Saccharomyces cerevisiae S288C: one gene and its partners. The protein of the gene in region 1 interacts with the protein of each later gene in a biochemical or structural test. Each region holds a gene or a part of one and is shown in the gene's direction. Other genes may lie near its edges.

Evidence for each region. Proteins that work in one complex are often made in the same cells at the same time.
Region 2: the proteins of PKH2 (region 1) and ARA2 form a complex in vitro, tested with the Saccharomyces cerevisiae proteins (one large-scale study listed by BioGRID).
Region 3: the proteins of PKH2 (region 1) and RDS2 form a complex in vitro, tested with the Saccharomyces cerevisiae proteins (one large-scale study listed by BioGRID).

Annotation. Positions count from the first base shown.
Region 1 is NC_001147.6:127,690-137,041, forward strand, and holds PKH2 (serine/threonine protein kinase PKH2), read left to right. Parts: upstream 1-1,547; coding exon 1,548-4,793; downstream 4,794-9,352. Other genes in the region: IZH4 (Izh4p), read right to left, coding at 1-231; SDD3 (Sdd3p), read right to left, coding at 5,036-8,149; YOL097W-A (uncharacterized protein), read left to right, coding at 8,531-8,716; tryptophan--tRNA ligase WRS1, read right to left, coding at 8,838-9,352. UniProt on the Saccharomyces cerevisiae protein: Serine/threonine-protein kinase which is part sphingolipid-mediated signaling pathway that is required for the internalization step of endocytosis by regulating eisosome assembly and organization, and modulating the organization of the plasma membrane.
Region 2 is NC_001145.3:350,466-353,476, reverse strand, and holds ARA2 (D-arabinose 1-dehydrogenase (NAD(P)(+)) ARA2), read left to right. Parts: upstream 1-1,503; coding exon 1,504-2,511; downstream 2,512-3,011. Other genes in the region: ARG80 (Arg80p), read right to left, coding at 341-874; YET2 (Yet2p), read right to left, coding at 2,614-3,011.
Region 3 is NC_001148.4:299,388-302,761, reverse strand, and holds RDS2 (gluconeogenesis transcription factor RDS2), read left to right. Parts: upstream 1-1,533; coding exon 1,534-2,874; downstream 2,875-3,374. Other genes in the region: COX11 (Cox11p), read right to left, coding at 144-1,046; ODC1 (mitochondrial 2-oxodicarboxylate carrier), read left to right, coding at 3,259-3,374. UniProt on the Saccharomyces cerevisiae protein: Transcription factor which regulates the expression of genes for gluconeogenesis, the TCA cycle, and glucose metabolism. Involved in the cell wall remodeling process and drug resistance.

The DNA of each region.
Region 1 (9,352 bases):
TGACAGCATCGAACCCAAGAGATATATTAGTGCTACTAGTGACTCGTTCCTACTGGATTTATTTTTGTACTGTTTCTGCAATTTTGCCAAGTCATGGAATGGAAAACCCTTCTTTGTTTCTTTTGTCTCTGCATTCTCGTTCGAATCTGTCCCCCTAGTATCATTGCTCTCTTTCTCAGTGGTTGTCTCGCATTTGACTGGGCTTTGCTCTATTGTAGTCAATGAAACCATACTGTCAATATATATGTACCTTTATACCAATATTATATGCGCTGACAAGAACTTTAAGAAATTAATTTCCTTTTCTACTTTTTTTCATTTTTATTTTACTTCTGCGTCCATATATCCGGACCATATATATGAGTGTAAATCATTTAGCTGTTGACACCATTGAGTATTTACAATTAAAACCAATTGAGCTCAACAGGCTTGCGTTGAATAATGTTGAGCTGCCCAACGAGCCCTTTTCTCGCGGAGTGCTGTCCGAATTGTCCGAGTTTTTATACGGACAGAACTATCGCTTCTTTGAAGTATATATAAGAATAGACCGGCTGTTCACCCCGTATCCTCCTTTTCTATCTCTTGGCTTGCTATGTTTCAATGTCAGCCTTTGCTTTTATGTGCCCTTGCATACACGTGAATATGTCTATTTTATGTAAACTATAACAGCTGGTACTGCCCGTACATATGCTTAAATTAAATAGCTATTGACGAAGGCCCATTTTCTCGTAGAATATCAGGGTAACATATGGAATAATCATTTTTCTCTGTCTATAAGTAGTAAGACTATTGCTTCTGATCCTTCTGTCAATCGCCTGTCTCCAGTTTTATTTCTTGTCACCTAGAGAAACATACGCTGGAGTTCCCTGTACTATCAAAAGTTGTTTCGGTCCCGCCATTTCCGACTAGCTCTATAGCTAATGGTTGAGACTCAAATAGTTCTGTAGCAATGGAAGCTGATGTACCCCAAATACGAAAAGTCTAAGGCTCAAAAATATATGGTGGGCCCATATATGCCTAGAATAAGGTATGAAACATGACAGATGGTTAACGATCGACTCGACACATTGTTGATGGAATAATTGGTCCCTAGTTAAACAGCGGAGAAATAGCCGCCCAGGATAATCGGAGAAAAGTCACGTGCAAAAAGAAATCATATTCGACGAAATAAACTAGAATAACTTTTGACGTTTAGCAATAATAACCCCAAATGGAAGCGAACATTTCCCGATCCTTTTAGTTTTCTTTAAGGCGCTATTGGCATTCATCTTCAAAGCTTCCGCAACACAGAAATTATATATTCACATTTCTGAGGCAGAGAATAGTTTTGACAACGAAACTGTTAATATTTTTACTCCAGTTACCGCCTTTGAAGTCTGATATTGGTGTACAAAGGTACTTAGGGGTATTTAAGAACAAGAAACTACATAAAATAGTTCGAAAAGGGAAAACAAAAGTAACATCTTGATGAACCGAGAAGCCACTAACTAGTTTTTAAAAAGCAAAAGAAATTAAATCTCTCCTTTTTTTTTTTTCATTTCAACCAAATGTATTTTGATAAGGATAATTCCATGAGCCCTAGGCCGTTATTGCCAAGTGATGAGCAGAAGCTAAACATTAATCTTCTAACGAAAAAGGAGAAATTCTCGCATTTAGACCCCCATTATGACGCAAAAGCCACTCCACAAAGAAGCACTTCGAATAGAAACGTTGGCGATTTACTTTTGGAAAAAAGAACCGCTAAGCCTATGATTCAAAAGGCCTTGACGAATACGGATAATTTCATTGAAATGTACCATAATCAGCAGAGAAAAAATCTTGATGATGACACTATTAAAGAAGTAATGATTAATGATGAAAACGGAAAAACTGTCGCTAGTACCAACGACGGCAGATATGACAACGATTACGATAATAACGATATTAATGACCAAAAAACTTTGGATAATATAGCGGGAAGTCCCCACATGGAAAAAAATCGAAACAAAGTAAAGATTGAACATGACTCTTCATCTCAAAAACCAATAGCTAAAGAGTCATCCAAAGCCCAAAAAAATATAATCAAAAAGGGAATCAAGGACTTTAAATTTGGTAGTGTAATAGGTGATGGCGCGTATTCTACTGTAATGTTAGCGACGTCGATTGATACCAAAAAGAGGTACGCCGCAAAAGTACTAAACAAAGAATATTTAATACGCCAGAAGAAAGTCAAATACGTCAGCATAGAAAAAACCGCCCTTCAAAAGCTCAATAATTCTCCTAGTGTTGTGCGATTATTTTCCACTTTTCAGGATGAATCAAGCCTATACTTTCTCTTAGAGTATGCCCCCAATGGGGACTTTCTTTCTTTAATGAAAAAATACGGTTCATTAGACGAAACCTGCGCACGATATTATGCTGCGCAAATAATAGATGCCATAGACTACTTACATTCCAACGGTATTATTCATAGAGATATAAAACCAGAAAATATTCTTTTAGATGGAGAAATGAAGATCAAACTGACTGATTTTGGTACTGCGAAGTTACTGAATCCTACAAATAATAGCGTTTCGAAACCAGAATACGATTTATCAACAAGGTCGAAATCTTTCGTTGGAACTGCAGAATACGTATCTCCAGAACTTTTAAATGACAGTTTTACAGACTATCGTTGCGATATTTGGGCCTTCGGATGTATACTTTTCCAGATGATTGCCGGAAAACCACCATTCAAAGCTACCAATGAATACTTGACTTTCCAAAAGGTAATGAAAGTTCAGTACGCCTTTACACCAGGTTTCCCACTTATTATCAGAGATTTGGTTAAGAAAATCTTAGTAAAAAACTTAGACCGAAGATTGACGATAAGCCAAATTAAGGAACATCATTTTTTCAAAGATTTGAATTTTAAAGACGGCTCTGTTTGGTCAAAAACGCCTCCAGAGATCAAACCATATAAAATCAACGCCAAATCCATGCAGGCAATGCCAAGCGGAAGCGATAGAAAACTGGTGAAGAAATCAGTCAACACACTTGGCAAATCGCATCTAGTGACTCAAAGGTCAGCTTCAAGTCCCTCTGTTGAGGAAACTACTCATTCAACCCTATACAATAACAATACTCACGCTTCTACTGAAAGTGAAATATCAATAAAGAAGAGACCCACTGATGAAAGAACAGCGCAGATACTTGAAAATGCAAGAAAGGGTATAAACAATAGGAAAAATCAACCAGGCAAGAGAACACCAAGTGGTGCAGCTTCTGCTGCCCTAGCAGCTTCTGCTGCTTTAACCAAGAAAACCATGCAAAGCTATCCAACTTCTAGTTCGAAAAGTAGCAGGTCAAGCTCTCCTGCGACAACATCAAGACCAGGAACTTATAAGCGTACTTCTTCTACAGAAAGTAAACCATTTGCCAAATCTCCACCTTTGTCAGCATCAGTTTTATCGTCAAAAGTCCCAATGCCTCCATACACACCTCCAATGTCGCCCCCTATGACACCATATGATACATATCAAATGACACCTCCCTATACGACAAAACAGCAGGATTATTCTGATACCGCAATTGCCGCACCTAAGCCTTGTATTAGTAAGCAAAATGTTAAAAATAGCACAGATTCTCCCTTGATGAACAAGCAAGATATTCAATGGTCCTTTTACCTGAAAAACATCAACGAACATGTACTAAGGACGGAAAAACTGGATTTTGTTACCACAAATTACGATATCTTAGAGAAGAAAATGCTTAAACTAAATGGTTCATTGTTAGATCCTCAACTGTTTGGTAAGCCTAGACATACTTTTTTATCCCAAGTAGCTAGGAGTGGGGGAGAGGTTACAGGTTTTCGAAATGATCCAACTATGACTGCTTATTCCAAAACAGAAGATACGTACTATTCGAAAAATATTATCGATTTGCAGCTCTTGGAAGATGATTATCGAATTGAAGGAGGTGACTTATCGGAGTTGCTTACTAACAGAAGCGGAGAAGGGTACAAATGCAATCAAAACAGCTCACCAATGAAAGACGATGATAAATCCGAATCTAACAATAAAGGAAGCTCTGTTTTTTCTGGCAAGATTAAAAAATTATTTCACCCTACCTCAGCAGCTGAAACGCTCTCTTCCTCTGATGAAAAAACCAAGTACTATAAACGAACCATTGTAATGACATCATTTGGAAGGTTTCTAGTATTTGCCAAGAGGAGGCAGCCAAATCCAGTTACAAATTTAAAGTATGAACTAGAATATGACATAAATTTGCGTCAACAGGGTACCAAAATAAAAGAACTAATCATTCCCTTGGAAATGGGAACTAATCATATAGTTGTGATTCAGACACCTTACAAGTCATTTCTTTTGAGCACTGATAAAAAAACCACGAGCAAATTGTTTACTGTTCTCAAAAAAATTCTTAATTCGAATACAAATAAAATAGAGAAAGAACTGTTGCAAAGAAACCAAAAGGTAATTGAAAGAAGAACATCATCATCCGGAAGAGCCATACCTAAAGATCTTCCAACTTCCAAGTCTCCTTCGCCAAAACCCAGGACGCATAGCCAATCTCCATCAATTTCAAAGCACAATTCGTTTTCTGAATCGATTAATAGCGCTAAGAGCAACAGATCAAGCAGAATTTTTGAAACCTTTATCAATGCCAAGGAACAAAATTCAAAAAAACACGCTGCTCCAGTACCGTTAACCAGTAAATTAGTTAACGGATTGCCAAAAAGACAAGTTACCGTGGGATTAGGTCTAAACACAGGAACAAATTTCAAAAACTCATCTGCAAAATCGAAGAGGTCGTAATTAGTAATTTTATCTAATGTTTTCATCAAGCTACTTAAATACTCTAAAAATAAATATATGAGGAATTTCAAGTACTCATATAAATATAATAATAATTCTCGATCAATCAAATGAAAGAGCGCCGTAAGGCAGAATCCCAGAATTCGAAAAGAATGAGACAATGCTCCTTTTGCTATTTATTGAATGCAGATAATACGCACTGTTTCTGTGTTGAAAGTGAAGCTGAAATGGAGGTCATGTACTCACGCATTTTCGTCTTCTTCACTATCAATTTCGTCATCGTCATCTTCTAGCTCTTCTATTTCGACAGTGAAACCTTGAGTTTCAAAGAATTCTTGAACTGATTCCAATTTAGCTGGATGACAGCTCACAAAGGCAACGCTTTTATTGGAATCAAACATGTTGACAAAATATTTCTGCATGGCATTTTTCAGATCTGTTTTGGTAACATTCTGCAACCTTTCCAAATACAATTCATTGAAGTTGTTCCCCCTTTGCAAACAGAATTCATCAACATATTTGGACAGGGCTGTTTCAAAGTATCCGCATTCGATAGTAGCCAGCCTGTTAATAATACTACTGATGGCACCTTGGATTAACTGCTCATCAAATTCCAAGGCACCTGATGCATAATCTTGAACAATCTGTTTTCCAACTTCATAACATTTAATAATATCAGCGCCGCGGTAAATATTGAATCCCCAAGAATTTATCTCACATAATTTTAACATGCTGGCACCATAGGCCAATCCGGCACCACGGATTCCCTTCCAAAATGGACCTTCAACACATTCTAGATATTCGGAAGCCAATGAGACAATAGCGTATTCGGGATCATGGTAGTCCAAGTTAAATGGGATAGACGTTATTAGATTCATATAAGCAGATTCTGAGGCGGGAGTAGTTATTATAAAGGCCTTTTCACCAGGTGTTCTGCAAATCGATGAAATGGTATCTAGGGCTCTTGGAACTGGTGGAATTTTTAACTTCTCAACTGGATGTGCAATGTTCAAGCACTTAATTAAGGGATTCCATGGTTCATAAACGTCATCGATCTTTGAGATGTCACCAAGAACCAAAATATGAAACTTGTTGAAATTTGCTCTCAGTTGCTTTCTCATTGTTTCTATTCTTGGCAAAATTTCTTTCTCAAAGTTGCCATTCTCAATTTCTGCAAAAATCTCTTGTAATTTTGCTTCAACAAATAATGGATCGGTGGATTTTTTCAGCGATCTTGCCGAATAGAGATTTCTGTTAGTTAAAGAACTTAACATAACATTACCATTTCTTTTCCATTCTACAATAGAATTCAAATAATTCTCCAGCAGAATACGAACACGATTTTCATCAAAAACCATGTCAAATAGGCAGTGCTTGATCCATTGAACAGAGTTAGAGTAACCCCCAGCTCTACATTGAATTTTAAAATTAATAAGGTCAGGACAAGAACCCTTCAAACCTTGGTTGATCTGTGCGTCAATAGTTTCTGATTTTAACTTGGCGACAACTTCCTCAAACGAGAGCATAGTTTCTACATTACTCTCCTCATCAAGGATTTTCATTGGCATGGAAAATAGCTCGTCAAACATATTAAAATATGGTAAAAGCGAGGTATCCTTAATAGATGCGGAGTTGACCAAAAAATGCAGCTCTATAAATTGAGACGGGAAATGATTTAAGTGAATGAAAAGAGGAAAATTGTCTGGCCTCGTTTCTAAAATTTTTTTGGTCAGCGGATCACTAACATTATTGTATTTATACGAATCGACAGTTGCAATGCTTTTCGTGTTGACAAATTCAACACTCTTTGAAGGATTATCAATCTCAAATTTCTGTAGTAGAGATTTCGGAATTGGCCTATCATTAATATTTTTTGCATTGTTCAATCTTTTCAATAAAACCAGTTTCTTTTCATCATCAAATTCAGCTTCTCTTTGTTTGATCAAATCCGATTTTTCTTTCTCTAGTTGTTCATACATCAAAGCGCTTGGTTTAGCGGTAACTATGATAGGTTTGTTGTCTACGAATATTCTGTTCAGCAAAGATTGCCAGTCCTTTTGGGACCATTGTAATAAAGCATCAAAATCACTTAAATCCTTGAGAGAAGACACTAATGAAGAACCATCTTCATTACCATAAATATAGTCGGTAATCACAGCACTAGAAAAACGACTCTCGCCATTTTTTTCATAGTTCAGCAAATATTCCCATTTAGTATTTTCAACTACCTGTCTAACTCTTGATAAATCAATGGTATGGGTTTTCAAAATCTCCAGTACCTTGGTCTTTGTTGCTGCTATTTTTTCTGTTGGGACACCTTGGATACGAAGATCAATTATGGTTCTCATGAAATAATCAGTGCAACAATCAGTGGAATTTGCCATGGGATCGTCAATTTCAACCAGTTCTCTTGTAAACACTGCCAATGCAGAGTCAGTAAAGTAATCTAATAGCACATCAACCGCTAGGTCATTACGAAAATCTGAGTAGGGAACACCAATCCAAGAAAAGAGTAATTCACCCTGACTTTCATCAAGTTCAGGAAATTCTACAGTAGATTCCGTAACTTTATCTCTAGATTGCGGTATGTGCGAAAGCTTGTTGTCCAAAAATGGTCTTTTCTTTGGTATATTCGATGGAATCTCCGGCAATTTGTTATCCCATTCTTCCATGACGGTTAACAGTTCATCTGTTGGTACGTTACCACAAACAATGACACAAAGATTATCAGAAGAATACAGAGATTTGTGAAATTGTCTGATTTCGTCGTTGGTTAAGGTTCTTAAATTTTTCGTTAGCCCACCAGTTTCTGACCGATAGCCACTTCCTTCAGGAAACATTAATCGCTGCTTTTCTAACCCTGAAATGTACCAGCCCTGAGTTTCAATGGCTTCCATTTCACTAAATACCACACCTTTATCACCCAAATTTTCCGGGTCGATGTGATAAACCTCAGTTAAACAAGCCTCGTCTGTTAAAGTTGGATGTAGGATGTGATCTAGATAAGCAGGTAGCAACTTTGAGAATCCCTTCCAGCCAGCACTGCTTAATGTATAAACAGTTTGGTCGGTATCAGTCCAAGCATTGGTGTTAGACAAAGACAGATTACCAGCTGTGTCTAATAAACCTTTGTATGGGTAAGATTTAGAACCCATGAAGATCAAATGCTCCAAGGTATGCGGAGCACCTGAATCATTAAGACATTCTGTAGGAACAGCAAAGTAACCGTGAACCAATGGGGAGGTTTTGTGGTTTATATGTACCAGTTGCAGTTTAGTTCGTTCCGAGATATATTTAGTTATATGGTATTGTGGGACATAATCCGGTTGGAATGATACGAGCTTCTTGAACCCCATTGTGAAGATTCGACGAACTGTGTTGAAAGTGCGTATAATTGGTCTTCGTGCCGTTTTTTGGGTCACTTTCAACTTTTCAGCGAGTAGTTTCTCTCACTATATCTTACGCTCTGTTAAAATCTTTTGCCACTACTTCAAAATTACGATCTATGGGATGAAAAATTTACATGAATTTACCAATACTCGGAAAAATGCAGGACAAGAAATAAGAACATTTGTATAATACAAGAGACGCATATACACATACCTACTCAGATAAGTTTAACGAGTTTCTCTTCCATAGGAGGGTCTAATCTCCTTCAGAAGTCTAACGTCTAAAAGTTCGTAAAGAATATCATCATAAAGTATGGTATACAAAATTTACTGTGCAACAACAGCACAATGCAGTCCATGATCTGCTCATCTGAGCACGAAAACCTAACCTGCAAGTACTGGCCTGTTAGCTTCCTCGCTTCTTGGTGTGAGAATGGGTCTGGCACACTGATGCAGAAAGATGGTAGTCTTTTATATGCCGTGAAAAATTTTTCCCATATATTTGAAAAAAAAATTTTTCATACCAATCTATAGAAATAGTGAGGTCAGGAGACATCGCAACACTATTGTTCTATTGCATTATTTTTTTAGTGTTAAACTACAATTTCGGATTCTATATCATTGTATATAATAGCGTCAGAATAAGCGTGACTACTTACTTCTTTTCTTGCTTAGTTTTTGGCTTAGGTGCGACAAGTCTTTCCTTTTCGCCCCAAACCAACTTATGTGGGACCATGAATTTGTCCAAGGTCTCTTCGTCCACCTGAGCTCTGCGTTCCTGGAACGCCTTAACGAATTCTTGCAGAGTCTCGATACACAGTTTCTTCATTTCACCTGATAGTAATTCACCGGACTTATATTTGTCATAGCATTCCTTCAAGAAAACATCGTCATCCTTGAAAAATGACAAGTATTGGTATGCAACATCGACATCGGGATTACCACCTAATTCTCTATGTAGGTCGGCGGACACTTGACCACCGCTGAATGCGTACTTGTTAATTTTCTTTTGAATTTGCTTTGGTGTATCGGTCATGAAAATGGCAGTGGTATCATCAGAGGCTGACATTTTGGTCGTGGAACCTTGCAAAGCTGGAAAGAATCTGGAATGAAGCAAAGCAGGTTTGGAGTACTTCAATTTATCCGCGACATCCCTACAAACTCTGAAAT
Region 2 (3,011 bases), on another chromosome or scaffold:
CAGACAAGGCAAATTGAAGTAAGGTAAAGAAAAAAGCAGAGATTCCAGTACAGTACGCCCTAGCTTTTTGGTAAGTATTTGGAGATGACCTTGTTTGGCACAGCTTAATATAGGACAACAGGTGCTGAACAGAAAGGGAAATTTCCTGCGGCCCAGCGCAAAAGTGCCTCTTTTGAGAAAAATTACTCAAAGGGGGACACTCCGGTATGTTCCGAGCCGCGTGCCGAAGGAGGGCAACTCCTTGTGCAACCCCCTTTGGCAGCAATGCTACTTTATATGCGCGTATTGTGCTATATGGATCTGCCTATGCCTTCGTGGGGCATCTCTTACTCTCGCATGTTCAGTTTGCCGGAGATTGTTCCTGTGCCGGCGACGTGTCGGTAGCGTCAGGAGTGTCTGAAGCATTGATGCATGCCCTGATGAGGCTCTTACCCTCGTCTTCCCGTACCACCGGCTCGAGCTTAGGCGTTGTGAAAGTGTAGACCAGGCCAGAGTTTGCCAGAATTAGAAGCAGAATATTGGCGCCGGTTAGGACGGAGAGCTCATATGCTTTTTTCATGATCCCGTGCCGCCTCTTCGAGAAGGTGACATGTCTCCGGGTCTTATTCTCGATGTACCTGATCGGCTGCTTCCGCCTCGTAACCGTACTTGTGTCGCTGCTGTCCTTAGTTTTCGTTATGGTTGGGGTGGGAGTTGATGTGCTCACGCTGAATTTGTCATCATCGTCTTCTTCGTCGAAATCGCCTTCTTGATCTTGTTCTGGCGATGGCGTTGAAAGCCGCCGTATTGGTTTGGTAGGTTCATTAGTTTCAACATCGCCGGTAATTGGTTTCTCAACTGGACTGGTACTTGAACCGTCGCTATTCGACGTCATATTTAGCAATATTCTTTAGAGAGTGTATGTAACTAATGTGGGAAAAAAAATGGCGCAGGAAAATCGCATAGCTACTTGCTAGGAGTAAGTAGAACTACGTGCCTTTCCATAGCGGTTCACCTGAATCATCAAATTTTTTTCACTTACCGTCTAATAATGGATGACCCACCCGCTTCTGTGATGCTGCTCATCACCAAAAGAGGAAAACGAATGAAAAGTAAAAAAAAATTAATGCGAATTCTGTGGATCGAACACAGGACCTCCAGATAACTTGACCGAAGTATTTCTTCAGTCTGGCGCTCTCCCAACTGAGCTAAATCCGCTTATATTCATATATTAGTTGCGCTCTGGGATGCGAGCCCATTCTCATGGAAATACATGAAATTGCTTACCAAATTCTCTGAAGAAGAGGGGTGTCTTATGGATAAGTGAGGATAAGAAAGAAAGTGTCATATAACTTAGCATTGTGCATATGTAGTCGATTTTTTTGTCATTATTTTACTTTCTGGAAAAAAGAAAGCTGCCTTCTGGGTTTCAGTACACGGTAAGTTTAAAGCCTATATTTATCTACTCTGTTAACAGGAAGGAAGAGTACACATAAATAAAAGAGTAACAACGGAGACTATAAGATGGTTAATGAAAAAGTGAATCCATTCGACTTAGCTTCGGTTTCTCCTTTAGTCTTAGGAGGTGCAATACTGAACCAGCAATATACAGATGAGCCAGAATCCATTCCACTGGAAGACATAATCAAATACGCATTTTCGCATGGTATCAATGCAATTGACACTTCTCCCTACTATGGCCCTAGTGAGGTTCTTTATGGTAGGGCACTGTCCAATTTAAGGAATGAATTTCCCAGAGACACTTATTTTATATGCACAAAGGTTGGGCGTATTGGTGCGGAAGAGTTTAACTATTCTAGAGATTTCGTGAGATTTAGTGTTCACAGATCGTGCGAAAGATTACACACTACATATCTCGATTTGGTGTACTTGCACGATGTCGAGTTTGTCAAATTTCCAGACATCTTAGAGGCATTAAAGGAATTGAGGACCTTGAAGAACAAAGGAGTTATCAAAAATTTTGGCATATCAGGCTACCCAATCGACTTTATCACCTGGCTTGCTGAGTACTGCTCTACCGAGGAAAGTGATATTGGGTCATTGGATGCAGTATTGTCCTATTGTAACTTGAACTTACAAAACAATAAGCTATTGAACTTTCGAGAAAGACTGCTACGCAATGCTAAACTGAAAATGGTTTGCAACGCATCAATCTTGAGCATGTCGCTACTAAGGTCACAGGAGACAAGACAGTTTCACCCGTGTTCTCATGAATTGAGAGAATGCGCATCTCAGGCTGCCAAATACTGTCAAGAACAAAATGTCGACTTAGCCGATTTGGCCACAAGATACGCGATTTCGGAATGGGTAGGAAAGGGACCCGTTGTTCTTGGAGTCAGTAGCATGGAAGAATTGAAACTTGCTCTGGATAATTACGAAATTGTGAAATCGAATGGCAACAGATTATCTTCTAAGGACGGACAACTAGTAGAATATATCCAAAAGAATATTTTTAAAGAACATTTTAATGAAGAGTGGTCTTCAGGTATTCCTCATCCAGAAATGATATAATCACCCCAAAAAGAAAAAAAATTTGTCAAATTTTAGTTTATATTCATTTGTTCTATTTACATATGTAAGTTTTTCCTTTTCTTCTTTTTTAGTTTTTTCCTTTTAAAATTTCTTCTTCTGCAATTCCTCTAAATATTTTTGCTTTCGTCTTAACTTTTCCTTCAGAATGTCATCTCCAGCCTTCATTTTGTCATTCCATTCCACTATTCTTCGCAATATACTCATCACGGTGAGTATACATATATAAAAGTAGATGATGAAGCCTGAAATGTAAACATTCCTTTGGTTATATGCCCTTGAAGCCAGTGCATCCACTGGGGTTACACTATTTATTATATAGGGATTTTTCTGGTTGCGGTACGTAGACACTCTGATCTGTGACCTTTTCCATGAATCGATGAACAAAAGACCAACGAAGATCATGATTCCAACCATATAAGTTCTGAATTTCTTATTAGTACTTATGATACTGTAGCGTATATACAGCCACCTTCTCATAC
Region 3 (3,374 bases), on another chromosome or scaffold:
GCTAGAAAACAAAGATTTGATGATTACAAGAAGTTCGGTGCCGTGATTATATGCTTAAAACATCTCAATATGAAGTCATGGTGTTTTACTTAATTCAAAAGCATAACAGTATTTATGTACATTGAATGACTTTGTATTTACAATTAATTTGAGTTGTCTTTCCTTGTGTCTATAACTTCTGGGGATAAAATAGCAGCATTAGCCAATGACGCTGCTTTTTCATCTGCATTCATCTCAGGCTCCTTTTTAGAGTCACTTACAGCTGTACCATCACCATAATGAGCTCTGAAGAATGTGTAATGTAAAATAATATCATCGATATTTCGCATCGCTGGATCGCTAGCAAAATCTGGATCGATAAAAAAGAAGACAGGCATATCTATTTCTTCACCGGCAGCTAGCTTTTGTTCTTCAAAGCAAAAACATTGGATTTTATTAAAGTATTGAGCTGCTTCACCAGGCGCTATGCTATAAGTAGCCATACCAATAATATCTTTATCGCTGTAATTCTTGGCTTTATAAAAAGCGAGGGCTGTTTCACCAGGCAGAACGTAAACCTCACGTTGTTGAGGAACGAATTTCCACGGTAAAATTTGTGATACTTCACTGGTGAATGAGATACGAATTCTCTTCTCAGTATCTACAGGAATGAGTTTATCGTCGGTAAATTTTCTTCTATCTGTTATGGGAATCCCACCAAAACCAGTACGAGCACAAATGGCTCTATAGAGTGGTACCGCTGCATATGCCAAACCCAAGAAAAGTACCGCGACGCTGCTGAAATAAAATGCAACCGTACGATCTTTAAATTTTCTCTCCCTTGCTCTTTTCAACTCTCGCAATTGCTGGATTTCATTTCTAGTAAGTTTTGAAATATCAAATGTATGTTTTGGTTGTTCGCTGTTCACTGAATAACTTCTCAATGCAACGTTTTTGCATATGGCCCGCCTTAGAGCTAGCGCATGAGGTGCCAACCATGAGTCGGATCTAAGAAAAGTTCCTAACAGTGGAACCTTAGATCTAACAATGGGACATATTCTTATCATGACAATATTAGGGAATTTTGGCTGCAATATTATTTGTTTGTGCGCTGAAGTGCTATTTCACCTGCGACAGGAATATTATTACTTTAAAGAAGATACTTAAGCGTTCGCTGCCCCTTTAGACTCTTCACTGTTCTTTGATTTGTATTGGTTAGTATCTATGTCCTTAAAAGATATATCATGTTTCATCCGTCAAAGGGCATTGGTTAGGGAAAGGGTTTTCCAATGGTTACGCTGTTTTTCCTACAGATCCGCTCCTTAGATGGGGAGAATAATGTTTTGGAATGGCAGAAAACAAGAAAAAGCAAAACAAAGAGTACGAAGGAAAATGAAAAATAGTTGAATATTAGAAAAAAGGATGAGGTCTCTGGGATGGAAGAAGAAAGTAATTCTTATGAGAAAATTTGCGGGAGTTCTTTGCCAGTGAGATAAAGTTTTTTTTAATTTTAATCAACACAAAATACACATATTTATATAAACTGACGAAATAATGTCAGCAAACAGTGGTGTAAAACGAGCCAGTAAGGCTTTTAAAACATGTTTATTTTGTAAACGGTCACATGTTGTATGTGATAAGCAACGTCCATGTTCTAGGTGCGTCAAGAGGGATATTGCCCATTTATGCAGGGAAGATGATATTGCGGTTCCAAATGAGATGCCATCACAGCACGAAAGTTCTCCGAATGATAATAATATACAGGGCAAATATGCAAATAAAGCACACACTGGAATTCCGTCTGACTATCAGAATGAACCAGTCAATAAAAGTGGATCCACATATGGAGAGGAACTGTCACCGAAACTAGACTCCTCTCTTGTAAATGATACAACCAGCTTGCTGCTTCCGCAACAACCTGTATTTGTGTCCGAGAATGTTGGTTCGGAATTCAGTTCTTTGAATGAATTTCTTTCTATGCTAGAAAATCCTCTATTGACTCAAACATCACTAAGTTCCAGCAGTGCGAGCAATGTTCATTTGGAAAATGGCTCACAAACCACACAATCGCCATTAGAGTACCAAAACGACAATCGTAGGGATGAAATAGGAGTGGCAAGACAAGAAAATAGGTCGCCTACTATTATGTCAGGTTCTTCCAATAGTATCTCGAAAGGGGATAAACAAGATCAAGAAAAGGAAGAGTCTCGAATTCTAGCGAATGCAAACGAAAACAGTGCACCGACACCGAAGGAACAATTCTTTTTAACAGCGGCGGATCCGTCAACAGAGATGACACCAGAACACCGGCTGAAGTTGGTCATAAATGCGAAGCTTGAAGCAGGATTATTGAAGCCGTATAATTATGCCAAGGGGTATGCAAGACTACAAGACTACATGGACAAATATATGAATCAGTCTTCCAAGCAAAGGATTCTGAAACCACTATCCACCATTAGACCGGCGTTTAGAACCATTGCGCGTTCATTGAAGGATGTTGACTTAGTTTTAGTGGAGGAGAGCTTCGAGAGGATGTTATTATCTTATGATCGTGTTTTCACCTCTATGAGCATGCCAGCGTGCTTGTGTAGGCGTACCGGTGAGATTTACAGAGCCAATAAAGAGTTTGCTTCACTGGTTGACTGCACAGTCGATGATTTACGCGATGGAAAGCTTGCGATCTACGAGTTGATGACAGAAGAAAGCGCTGTGAATTTCTGGGAAAAATACGGGTCCATAGCGTTTGATAAGGGTCAGAAGGCTGTTTTAACAAGTTGTAGTCTTCGAACCAAAGATGGAATCCGCAAACGGCCATGCTGTTTTAGTTTCACTATCAGAAGGGATAGGTACAACATCCCAATTTGCATCGTCGGGAATTTCATCCCTTTGTCATAAGCATAAGTAATACATAGTAGGTAATTGGTATTTCCAGCGTCATTAAAAAGCAAAGTAACGGGTTTACTTTTTCCTCAAGCCGCTGGCCCGAGCAGTTACTTGAAATAGCCGTATTACTACGAGCAATACGAAGACCTTTTTCTACCAGCATTTGTTTTTTTTCAAATCATTCCCATTATTACCCCAGGATCTTTTCATAATGCGGCGACCAGAGATAGGGAAAAAAACTGCGAACTGGCTGAATCTGATTTGGCGAAGGGCAGATTCTCGGGTATTTCTGTGAGGGTGACCGCCGTTGATATATATCAGTGACTTTTGGGAACCTTTATCTCATTTATTCTCAAGATAGAACTGTAACGAGGGTGAAAGAAAAAGAACTGTAAGATGACATCTATAGATAATAGACCTTTGCCGTTCATATACCAGTTCACAGCCGGTGCCATTGCCGGCGTCTCGGAGCTATTGGTGATGTATCCATTGGACGTGGTGAAGACAAGAAT